Yarrowia lipolytica: one gene and its partners. The protein of the gene in region 1 interacts with the protein of each later gene in a pairwise test. Links are inferred from orthologs where the notes say so. Each region holds a gene or a part of one and is shown on either strand. Other genes may lie near its edges.

What was found.
Region 2: the proteins of YALI1_F12946g (region 1) and YALI1_F14213g interact in binary tests that used the Saccharomyces cerevisiae proteins (3 or more experiments, as listed by UniProt). The link is inferred for Yarrowia lipolytica from reciprocal best matches to the Saccharomyces cerevisiae genes RPC34 and MAF1.
Region 3: the proteins of YALI1_F12946g (region 1) and YALI1_E28599g interact in a two-hybrid assay, tested with the Saccharomyces cerevisiae proteins (2 studies listed by BioGRID). The link is inferred for Yarrowia lipolytica from reciprocal best matches to the Saccharomyces cerevisiae genes RPC34 and BRF1.

The regions. Positions count from the first base shown.
Region 1 is NC_090775.1:1,293,222-1,296,554, forward strand, and holds YALI1_F12946g (uncharacterized protein), read right to left. Parts: upstream 1,407-3,333; coding exon 558-1,406; downstream 1-557. Other genes in the region: YALI1_F12917g (uncharacterized protein), read left to right, coding at 1-262; YALI1_F12951g (uncharacterized protein), read left to right, coding at 1,970-2,881. UniProt on the Saccharomyces cerevisiae protein: DNA-dependent RNA polymerase catalyzes the transcription of DNA into RNA using the four ribonucleoside triphosphates as substrates. Specific peripheric component of RNA polymerase III which synthesizes small RNAs, such as 5S rRNA and tRNAs.
Region 2 is NC_090775.1:1,419,312-1,423,276, forward strand, and holds YALI1_F14213g (uncharacterized protein), read left to right. Parts: upstream 1-2,051; coding exon 2,052-2,057; intron 2,058-2,563; coding exon 2,564-3,457; downstream 3,458-3,965. Other genes in the region: YALI1_F14201g (uncharacterized protein), read right to left, coding at 285-815; YALI1_F14207g (uncharacterized protein), read left to right, coding at 1,397-1,858. UniProt on the Saccharomyces cerevisiae protein: Mediator of diverse signals that repress RNA polymerase III transcription. Inhibits the de novo assembly of TFIIIB onto DNA.
Region 3 is NC_090774.1:2,858,196-2,862,168, reverse strand, and holds YALI1_E28599g (uncharacterized protein), read right to left. Parts: upstream 2,236-3,973; coding exon 607-2,235; downstream 1-606. Other genes in the region: YALI1_E28631g (uncharacterized protein), read left to right, coding at 1-200. UniProt on the Saccharomyces cerevisiae protein: General activator of RNA polymerase III transcription. Interacts with TBP. Binds to Pol III subunit C34 and to the TAU135 component of TFIIIC.

The DNA of each region.
Region 1 (3,333 bases):
TAAGTACACCCAGGCCCGAGTCGGCGACCGAACCCTCATGGACGCACTTGTTCCCTTTGTAGAGACCCTCAGCAAGACCAAGGACTTCGCCAAGGCCGTAGAGGCTGCTCGGAAGGGCGCCGACGAGACTTCCAAGCTGCCTGCCAATTTTGGCCGTGCCTCGTATGTGAACGAGGAGGGATTGGAGAACATTCCTGACCCTGGAGCTCTTGGACTGGCCGTCATTTTCGAAGGTCTTCTCAAGGCCTGGGAGAAGAAGTAGTGTGTAACGGTGAAAGTATGTAGTAAAATGATTAATGACGATGCTGAAGTGAGGATAATGGAGGTAAACATCTGCCGACTGCTTGATCCAGGGTATATACCACTCGTACTTGTTCTAGGGAGAATACTCGATGATATTCTATCCTAAGTAAGTACCAGTCATCTTCACTATTCCGGATACCTGACTCGTTGCTGCAATTACTCTCACCTCACACCGCTTACTATTCTATGCTATAAATTAATACTACTTGTACTGTACTTTTGTTGCTGACCTCGTTTCCAGATCATCCTCCCTATTAATCCAACCACTCGTCAAAGTAGCTGCACTCCACATCCACCGGTCCTCCGGCGCTGCACACGTTGAAGACAGGACACTGGCCACAAACAGACTCGGTGTAAGCGTCTTTTGGCAGCTCCTCGTCGGGAAGATCGCCATTGAGAGTCGCCTTGTATCCTGCCTTGCATCTTTCCAGACGGTCATCGTAAACCAAGACCTCGCACAGTATTCGAATATGGCCCTCATCCAGCTCCACTCGTGACACCTCCTGGTCGACAATGAACTGCTTGATGTCTGTGACATGCACGGGTGGTGCGTTGGCCCCGAGCGCCAGGTTTGTGTTCTCCTCGCAGTAGTGGTAGACCACGTCGAGCAGCAGATCGACAAACTCGGAATCGAGCTCGGCATCGGAAAACCAGGGACCTCCTGTGAGCTCAGCCGAGGGTTGCAGGTTGTACAGCATGTACATTTTCCGCGTCTTCTGCTGTACGCTCTTGACCATCTTGATGATGTGCTGCTGCTCCAGCGACTTGAGACATCGGTGGACCACGTTGATGTGCAAGTTGGACCTGGCTGTGATGGTCCGCACCCAGATGCCGTCACGCTCCGACTCTGCAATGTAGTTGTACACAATGTACTCGTCAGACGTGAGCTTGGATACAATGTCAGCCGTCTCGATCGACACGGCCTGCAGCATCACCTGTCCTCCCTGCTCCAGCACCTTGACTCTGGACGAGTTGTGTAGCTCCGCGATCCACGCCTCCAGCTTCTCGCCTGCTACGTCCACGAGGTCGGCCACCTCCGCGTACGTGAAGAGCTTGGCCTTGGGCCCCTCCAGCATTTTGGCGTGCAAATCATCCGCGGACATTTTGAAAAGGTGCGGTTGTTGTGCAAGTCTGGAAAAAAAAAAGTTGGATGGCGAAATTATTTCGTCACACTTTTCTAGTGCGTCTGAGATGCGCGCATATGTGGGATGGAGGTGGTTGGTAGGGGGCCGAAAGACTGCTCTGGAGACTAGTGGGGTGGTTGGAGCGGATCGCAGAGGTGTATATATGCGAGTTTTCAAGTTTCAACGGAAAAAAACAGCCCTTTAGCTGGTATTGTGTGTTGTGTGACAATCTGGTAGAGTTGGTTGGATAATCTTCATTAACAAAAAGCCCAACTGAAAATGTATAAAGTAAGTATAGTCTAAGTAACTGAGAGCGAGAAGAGACGTGTGTTATTTCTAAGGCTTACAGCGAAGATACCGAGCCAATTTTTTTGTCAGCTTGTGAAGAATTATGATTAAATTATTTTTCAATCTTCCACTTCTCTCTCACTTGCTTCACACACCTCATTAACCACACCCCGTCTCCGCCCTATGTTCTCTTTAGGTTCGCACTACGAACATGCACCTTCTAGTATCACCACCATCACTCTCACCAACCAGCCATGGCACGAATCAAGCTTGATCTGAGCTCGGACGAGGAGCCCACGGTATCGTTCAAGCGCAAAACGGTCAAGAAGGCCGCCAAGCCCAAATCTGCGGAGAAAGAGTCAGATGAAGAGCCCAGTATGGTGTTCAAATCGAAGATCAAGGCCGTCAAGCTGGTCAAAAACGAACAGACCCGCTCCAACGAGTACCAGCAGGAGCTGGACGAGATGAAGAACAATTTTGGACACCTGCAAACGAAAGAGGAGATTGGTAGCTTCAAAACTGACACTACCGGAGAGATCAAGACAACCAAGAAGGTCACATTCGAGGGTGTACCAGACACCAAGGACGAGCCCTCCTCCTCCGCAGACTTTATCTCACTGTCGGGAATGGAACACAGCAACACAGACTTGCCTGCCACATCCAAAGAAGGCTACACGGCGTCTCTGGATGACGGGTACGACTCGGATCTGTCTATATCCGAGGGGAGAGATTTTCAGGACGATCTACTGGTGATTGGCGAGTCTGGGGTGTCGGACCAGGCCGATGCTAGAAGAGCCGATATGGCTGAAGCCATCTACGAGGCGCAGTTGACTGCAAGTGAAGATGACGAGGAGGACAGGAGAGGATGGGAGAAGTCGCAGTTCCGGTCGTCGGGTGTATTCAAGGATGACTCCACGTCGGAAACTAAGTACCGGGAGTCCACTGATCACGAGGCTCATAATCTGGCGCTGAAAAAGCTGCATTCGGTGCCGGAGATTCCGTCTCTGACAGATGTAGTGGAGTCCATCAAGCAGCGCAAGGTAGACATGGACGCGCGCAAATCTGATCTTGAGCTGACGCTAGAGCAGTACCAGCGCGAGATTTCGCTCATTGAGGAGCGTCAGAAGGAGGTGGCCGATCTGGTCAACAAGCAGCTGGCTCTTTAGGGGTGTTTGTGATGGTTTGAAGGACTACGACGATTGTCAATTGCATTCTAACGACTATGAATGCACGATACTAGGCAGTACCTACACAGCTACAGTAGTTGACAACATGTCACACTGCCATTACAACCACTCAACCAACACACACACAGTCTACAAGTACAAGTACCGTACAAGTAACTGTAGGCCGTATCTTCTCTTCAAAGTTTGAGGTTGACTCCGTCACGACCAGTTTGCCTTTAGACATTGACTTGAGTGTTTAACCATGGATCTCCAAATTACGCGATAGACGCGACGAGCCAGTGACAATGACAAACGAGCCGCTCTGGGTGGGAAAAGAGGTGCTTCTGAAAAACAACACGAGCGAGCGACAATGGGACGGAAGAAACAACACATTTGCATCCCCATTTGTGTCTCTATCATTTACTTGTTCCTTCCACAAATCTCCACCACCG
Region 2 (3,965 bases), about 130 kb from region 1:
AGTTACCTGGTAGGGAGGATCAGAAGAGTGTGTCGTCTGTCTGTCTGGAGAGATATCGGCGGACAACTGTAGGTCGGTAGTCAAGTAATAGAAGCTGGTCTTCCCATTAAAGCTGACCTTCAAAGCTGACCAAGATCATTGTAAACCACTTGTCGGTAGTCTGTCAACCAACATCGACTTCTGACAGTACACATTGCCACAACAGGAGGTTCAACAACGCAGAAATAAGACGATATTGACCCCACTTGATGCCGCTGAAAAATCCTGATCCAGACAGTCAACGCTCAAAATGATAGTGTTATTTGTTCGAGATCGAAATGCGGCCCTGCTGTTCTACTACTGTAGGCCTGAACAAACGCAGATAATGTGCGGTGAAAGCCGACCTTCGATCGGCCACCACATCCCCCCTGTCCGCTCACTTGCATACTCACTCTCTCTTTCTTGGCCTCCTCAAACTTCTTCTGGGCGTCAGTCAGATACGGCTCTTTAGGCGTTCGGGTGGTCTCCACTGGCGAGGTGCTCGCGGCAATCTTGGCCTTGTCCATTCGCTTGGAGGACGATCCCGGAATAGGGATCGCGCCCTTGGTCTCCACAGAAGGAGGAGTCTCCGAAATGGACTCTTTGGCATGCTCTGTATCGTGAGGAGACTTGGCGATATCCTTGGCTGAAGGCAGTGACATTGTTGGTGGTGATGAGGATGGTGCTGGTGCTGGAGAAGACGTCTTGGAGATCTTTTTCTTTTTCGACTTGGTTACTTTGCCCTTGTCGCCCTTGAGTTTCAACCGACCGCCCGGCTTAGTGTCGTAGAGGCCCATTATAAGGAAGCAGCGGGATCACGTGAATCTGACGTCACGATAGCAAGGAAGAGCGCCTGCGCCTTGTCTGGATCTCTGTGGGTTGGGGTTGGAGGTGTAACGGAGGTTGGGTTTGGTTTCAGATTGTGCTTACTAACCGTTCAGGGTACGGGTAGATCTCGTTGGTGTTGTTGCCGGGATTGTCGGTCGGAAAATCTCGGACTGGACGAGTGGGTCCACTGTGGCAGGTAAGAGGTGAAGTGAGGTGATGTTTTTGCTATCATGAAAATGGGGAAAAGGGGAAAATGGGGAAAATGGGGAAAATGGGGAAAATGGGGAAAATGGGAAAAATTGGGGAAAATGGGAAAAATTGGGGAAAATGGGAAAAGTTGGAAAAAAATGGGAAAAAATGGGAAAAACTTGCAAAAGTAATTCCCGATAACACAAAAAATTGTGGTTTTCTCGCAAATTTTACATGTATAAATCCTCGTCGCTTGTATAAATATCTTCTTTTTTTACATAAAATAACTGCCATTTGTTATTCTCCCAATCTAAATAAATTAATTAAACAGCAAGTTTAGAATGACAGCAATATCCAAGTGATGTTACCTGGAGCTACAAGTACGAGTACAATACGAGCACGAGTACTCGACGACCGTCTAAGACAGCTAAATCTCTGCCAAATACGGCGTGACTCATTAGGACACCAGATCACCAGCCTTCCTGACGCTCAAACTCCACCGCTACACTGCACGTTCTCTGCTGCTGCGTCCCGTTCTAGAAGTGGGAGTTCCCATTGTGGCAGTATAAGCTTATGTGATTGGCGGCACGGTGAGACGGGCGATGCGGGTATAATGATGGGACCTTGTTTATGGGGCGTGTTTGTGGGGGTCTATCAGAGTATGGGGAGGTTTAGGGCACCATGTAGACGGCGATATGGGCTAGGGGAGCGGTTCGGGGCCGTTGTTGTATTACTAAGCCGTCCGGTGGTCTTATCTGTGCTCCCTCCTCCTTCCCCCCGTCCAGATCCACGCCTTCCCCACCTGATCAGACTATGCATGTAGGCGCTATACATCCACCACGCAGTCCTGACATGACATACATTTGGACTCAAACTCAGCCAGTCCCACAACCGGAAAAGGAACATCAAAACGACCCTAGTCAGATCAAACGCCGTCGATTCGACCCTCCACGACACTCAGCAATACTCACACGGCCCGCCCAAGTTACACAAAGCCGCCGGCAACACACATCACAATGAAGGTAAGTGGTTGGAGACGGTACAGAGATTGTGTTCGATAAGCTGTTTGGCGAGGTCGGACGTCTTGGGGACGAAATGGGATACCGAGGGGGGTTTGTGGCGATTGATTTTTGCCCTTCAATCAGTCGAGGTTGGCGATGAAGGGGTGTTTCTTGAATGTTTATCCCTCAGACACCGGCTAACACGCGACGAAAATCACTCAGCGCGTGTTACCGGGGTGGTGTGGTGATAAGAAGAGGTTTCAGGATGTGCAAGTCGATTTTAGCAGACAGAGTTGTCGATACACACGAGGATAGACACACAGAGACATACAGAGAGGCACACAGAAAGGCGCACACAGCGACACACACAGAGAAACACGCAGAGGGTACACGCAAACATACCGTGCTCTCGACAAGCGACACAGACACAAGCCCAACCACAAACCCAGATGCGCATCTTAGTCTCTCTATCTGTGCCGTGATTGCTCTTCCCCCATCTCACAACCCATCAACTCACACTAACCCAGTTCATACAAGATCACACACTCGACGAGGTGGCATCAGCACTCAAATTCGACACACCCGAATGCCACGTTTCCGGCAACATTGACCTGTACACCACCAAACCCGCTTCCTCGGACAAGAAGCTGTACAAGGTGCTCGACAAGCAGCTGTCGTACCATCAAGACGCGCTCGACTCATTCACCTCCATCTCCACCCTCGGCACATCTTTCTCTCCCCCACAAGTGCTCACCTTTGACAACTACTACCAATACGGCAAATCGTTGGACAGCAGCGTCAGCAAGATGAGCAATCGAAGCCCCAAGGGCGTGAGCAAAGTGCCCAAGCAAAGAACCTATTCTTCCTCGAGAGCAGGCGTCTCTGTCGGCTCGCTATCGCCTCTACTCTCCTCTCCCTTTGGAGATATGAGCGAAACTGCCAGTAGGAAGGTGTTTGCTTATCTGATTGCGATTCTCAATGCGTCAGACCCTAATCACGACTTTTCCGTGCTACAGCCGGACGACTTTCAGCGCGAGCCGAGCGCATCGGCCGTGATTTCGTCCTTCAACAACGTGCTGTTCGGCCTGGGTATGCCGATCCCGCCCCGGATGTGGGACGTACTGGACAAGAGCATCGAGATGCACAACTGCACAATCTTTTCCTTCACGCCCGACGCCACGATTCTCGCCGACGAGCCTGGCGCCCTGTGGGCATTAAGCTGGTTCTTTTTCAATAAGAGAATGAAGCGAGTCGCATGTATTTCTCTCAACGCAAGGAGGCATTCTCTGTCGCCTACGCTGGGGCCCAAGATTATGAGGTCCGATGTGATCAACGGTGACGACGAAGAAGATTATGATCTCACGTATTCTTCCGACACTGACATGTACGACGAGATTGTCGGAGAACTTGATCTGGAGTAGTCCAGAGCACATTTTTATTTAACACAGCAGCACTCGGCCGAGAACACCACTCAGTTTAACAGTTCAACAATGTTCGAGCCTATGACGTTTGATTTTTCAACATATGAGTAATAAATGTATACCAGGTACGGTGGAGAGAGTAGATATGGCATTGGCGCTGCTGTGTATTCCCGCGAGTGCGCTGTGATTCGCTTCCCATCAGCTATACGCGGTCGGGGCTGGGTCAAACTATCCAATCATCTGTGTTGGACCAAGACATCGGCAATTCGCTCCCCGCCCCGTCAATGGCGTAATTGGCTGCCGAAGCGACATTGGTGATTGCGTATCGTGTCCAACGATATCCCCTGAGTCTATCGTGCATAGGCCTCGGTGTGCCTGATTGATAACTGGCTTCTATAGGTTCCATTACGGGGTGGAGGACGAGCACCGTGTGATGGACAGAGATATACAACGACTTGGGCTGGTTGCCGGGTTGTTTCTGGTGTTTCTATGTTTACAATTACCACAA
Region 3 (3,973 bases), on another chromosome or scaffold:
AGGGCTTTGGCCATCTGGCTATTACTGTTGACGACATTGAGGCTGCCTGTGAGCGGTTCAACAAGATTGGCGTCAAGTTCAAGAAGCAGCTGGACGAGGGTGGAATGAAGTACATTGCCTTCATTCTGGATCCCGATGGATACTGGATCGAGGTCATTCCTCCCTACAACCTGCCTCTTGAGAACCACGCCAAGATCTAGGCACCATGAAGAGGATAACTAGGGGATGCATGCCATATGGCGATATTTGTATAAACAATGATATTGGTGTATATTGAATTAGACAGGTTTGGGCGCAGTCTTAGATTACTCTACTAGAGTTTTTTATGTGTTCCGAATGGTTGCGATGCTCAATGCCTTTGTGGAAGATCCTACAAGAGAACCCATTAGCCTGACAAGTGAATCGACTGGATAAGTCGAAGTTGCTGTATCGATCGAAATAGTTTAACCCATTGACAGATCACTTGGTGCATCATGTTGAAACTCTCCTCTCATATCACAACTCCAAATCCCTCAATAAAACCTCTCCGTGCCCTCAATATGTACAAATACACAATAATTTAATGTTAGCTATATGCAATTCTCGTCTCACTTTTTTTCCCTCTGATCAAGTCAACTTCTTTCGCTTGCTCCACAGTCCGGAGAACTTTTCGTAGTTGATCTTCTTTGAAGGAGCTCGCTGCTGCACCATCTGTTTAGTACTCTCGGCCGCGTCCTTGGGAGGAGCAGGCTTCTCGCCATCCTTTTGCTTCTGTCGCTTTCGCTTCTTGGGCTCCTTATACACTCCAGCGGCCTTGTCGGCCTCGATCTTCAACAACTTGGTTTCCTGTTCCTGCAGGTACTCCATGTTGACGGTGGTCCAGACGGCCTCCTTGATGTTACGCTCCTCGTCGTTGAGCAGAATGGAGTCGATTTCGGGATCGTCGTCGAGATCCGATAACGACTCGACCACTGGAGGTCTGGCGTCGCCTCCTTCCTTCTCGGCTGTCTGCTGATCCTCCATCATCTGCTCATGGGGTGTTTTCATGGCCAGAAGTGCCTCTGTGGCGGCATTGTTAGCCTCCTCGTTGAGCATTCGACGCCGTTCTCGCTCGTATTCAATGATATACTGGGCTCTGTTCTGAACGGTTCTCTCTGCCTTTTCCTGCGGAGTGTCTTCCAGAAATAGCGCCTCCTTGGCCCGCTCCTCCGGGTTTTCGTTCTTCTCCACCATCTGCGCCATCATCTCCTCCATCTCCGCGTCAATCTCGTCCTGAACCTTCTCCTCAATACCTTCCTGCTCCCGCTTTCGATGCTTCTGGTACGAGGGCGGGTCCGACTGCGACTCGATGTTGGTCATTCGGAACACTGAGATGGTCTGGCGACCAGCCTCGGTGTGTCTGAACTCGTCCAGACGTCGTTGAAGCGTTTCTTCCGCGACCTTGGCGTAAAATGCAATCTGCGTCTTGGACCGACGCTGGTTGTTCATTCGAGCTGCTAGCAGCAATGCGGCGGCGGCGATACCGGCAGGACGACGACCCTCAACCAGATAGTCACGTCCCATACGCTGAACAAGTCGAACCGCGTCGTTTCGCACGTTTTTTGCGTTGTCAAAGTCGAGCTTGGACGCAAACCGCTGAATGTAGATGCTCGGGTCGATCAGTGGCAGGTTCTTGATGTCCAATGTCTTGAGCAGTTGCAGGTAAGTGGTTCCGATAGCAAACACGTTGCAAAATAGCTTGTCTGCGAAATCAATAAGCATTTCATGTCGCAGTTCTCGTCTGCAGGCAACGTACAGACACGCCGAAACCACGTATTGTGACCGTCGGCCCTTGACAAAGTTCTTGGTGACGGCTAGAACAAAATACCGATGGGCCTTTTCAATGATATGTTGGGGGATATCCATGGCGTGTGCGAGCGCTGTGATTCGGTTCTTGCCCTTCTGTAAAGTCAGCTCGCGTGACTCGCCGTGGAAGTTGTTGTTTCGGATACCGGACTGGTCGGCTCCCACAAACGAACCGTGCACCACGGCAGCTCCAGAAGACGACTCTCCGAAGGTCACCTCGGACACAATAGGCGCGTCGTCAACGACAACACCACAGTTGGCACAGGACGAGTCGTTTCCGTCTCGCTTGATCGATGTCGATCCACATCTGGGGCACTTCATGGTGGCTGGACAGTGTTCTGAAGGTGTGCAAGTGACGAAAATGAACAGTTGGTAGGTGATGTAAGCCAAAGATGGATTTTTTATATGCATCTAGAGTTTATGTGGGATGAAGAGAAAGTGGAGAGTATCTGACACGAAGTGAAACGACGGTTTGAAGGAGAAGAAATACGCGTGTTATATATTTGGTTTTTTCTTCCATTTCTGGCGCTTTTTCCGAAATGACAACTATTTTATCAAAATTGATACGAATTTTCCTGATTTTTCGCTGCTTCCATGTTTTGGTTACAGAAGGGAAACCCAAAACATGGACGCTAAAAAACGCCATAAACAATGTCATCGGTGGGATTCGAACTTTCGTGTGGCTAAGTCATTTTCGGAAAAACCGACATACCTGCAAGAGTATCGTTCATGAGATGTCGGCGTGCATGAGCGCCAACAAGCGTGTACAGTACATACATGACATGCGTTGAGATGTCGGAAAAAGACATTGTATATTCACACGACTCGACAAGACGTGTGGTGGTGAGATTTTAAGACTGTTTCGATATTTTTCAGTGTATATTTCAGGTGGCAAATACCACAACTCTAATTAAATAATTTTAGCTTTTGTCAACCCAACTTCTGGGTCCGTTAAAAGGGTCTTGTAGACACAAATACGGCTGGAATTTTGCCTGGAAGACGGCATGTGGCCCATTTATGTGTATGTCACATCACATCTCTGCTCTCGGGCCTTACCCCACCTCGAGTTATGTTCGGCATCTCTTGCACTTGTCAGGTATGCAACATGGTTGGTCCGGCGGCACAACTATAATGGGAGCTTTATTTGGGACAGAATTGATTGTTGAAATGTTGAACCGACGTTTTTCCGTTGTATTTTGCTGTGCTGTGCTGTGCTGTATATGGACAGTAGTGCATCCCATCCCCTGTCTGTTTGTGTGGTCGGACCGCTAGCTGTTAGCTGGTTTTTAGCCATTTTTTCAGCATTTTTCAAGCCTATCATTTTTGCAGCTCCGATTTCACCCATACTTGAAGGTACAGTGAGTGTACGCGTCCTGTCACAACTGATGGCCCAGAGCTGAAAGTAATCATGACTACAATTGTGGTGGTGTCGGTGTTGGTGGTGTCGTGGCGGTGTCGTGTTTGTGCTCAATCCACGAATATATAAACCCCCCGATCTCCCCAGAACCATGACGGAGCCGACATACTCCCGACTCTTGCACTCACCACCAGGCACGCCCCCTCTCTAACTTTGGACCTGCCTCGGTTGGGGGAGGTTTTGCATAAGATGAAATGCACGGCGGCCAAGAATCGGCAACGACCATAGGGAGCTACCGGTGCTTGGGTCAGTGTAGAGCTCAACGGAGTGACTACAATGTGGTGTTGAGCGGCGGTTTACGGAGACAAATGATTTCCAGCTTGATACCGATTGCGACACAGAATATGTGGTGCCATGTGGTGCCATGTGGTGTCTGGTTGTGTATATATATATATATATGGGTCTGGCCTGTGGCGGACTGTCCTTTGCCTTTTGTTATGTTATTTCCCACGCGTTGTTCGTCCACTCCAACACTCCCTTTCTACCCCTCAGTGGACTAGGGTTACCAACATGCTCGGCTTCTCCTCCTACATTGGACCAAGACAAGGTTTGGAGTTTAAGCGTTGGGAGGAACCACGGGTGCAGTCGGTGGTGGTCGGTCGCTCCCCCAGGGCGTGTGTGTGTGTGAGTGTGTGCGGTCCTGTATAATCTCGCACCCAACGCAAAAAAAGCCAAAGGTAAAGTTTCCAACCTTGGAGAACTAAAGAAGACCCTTCTAAGAAGACGGACTTC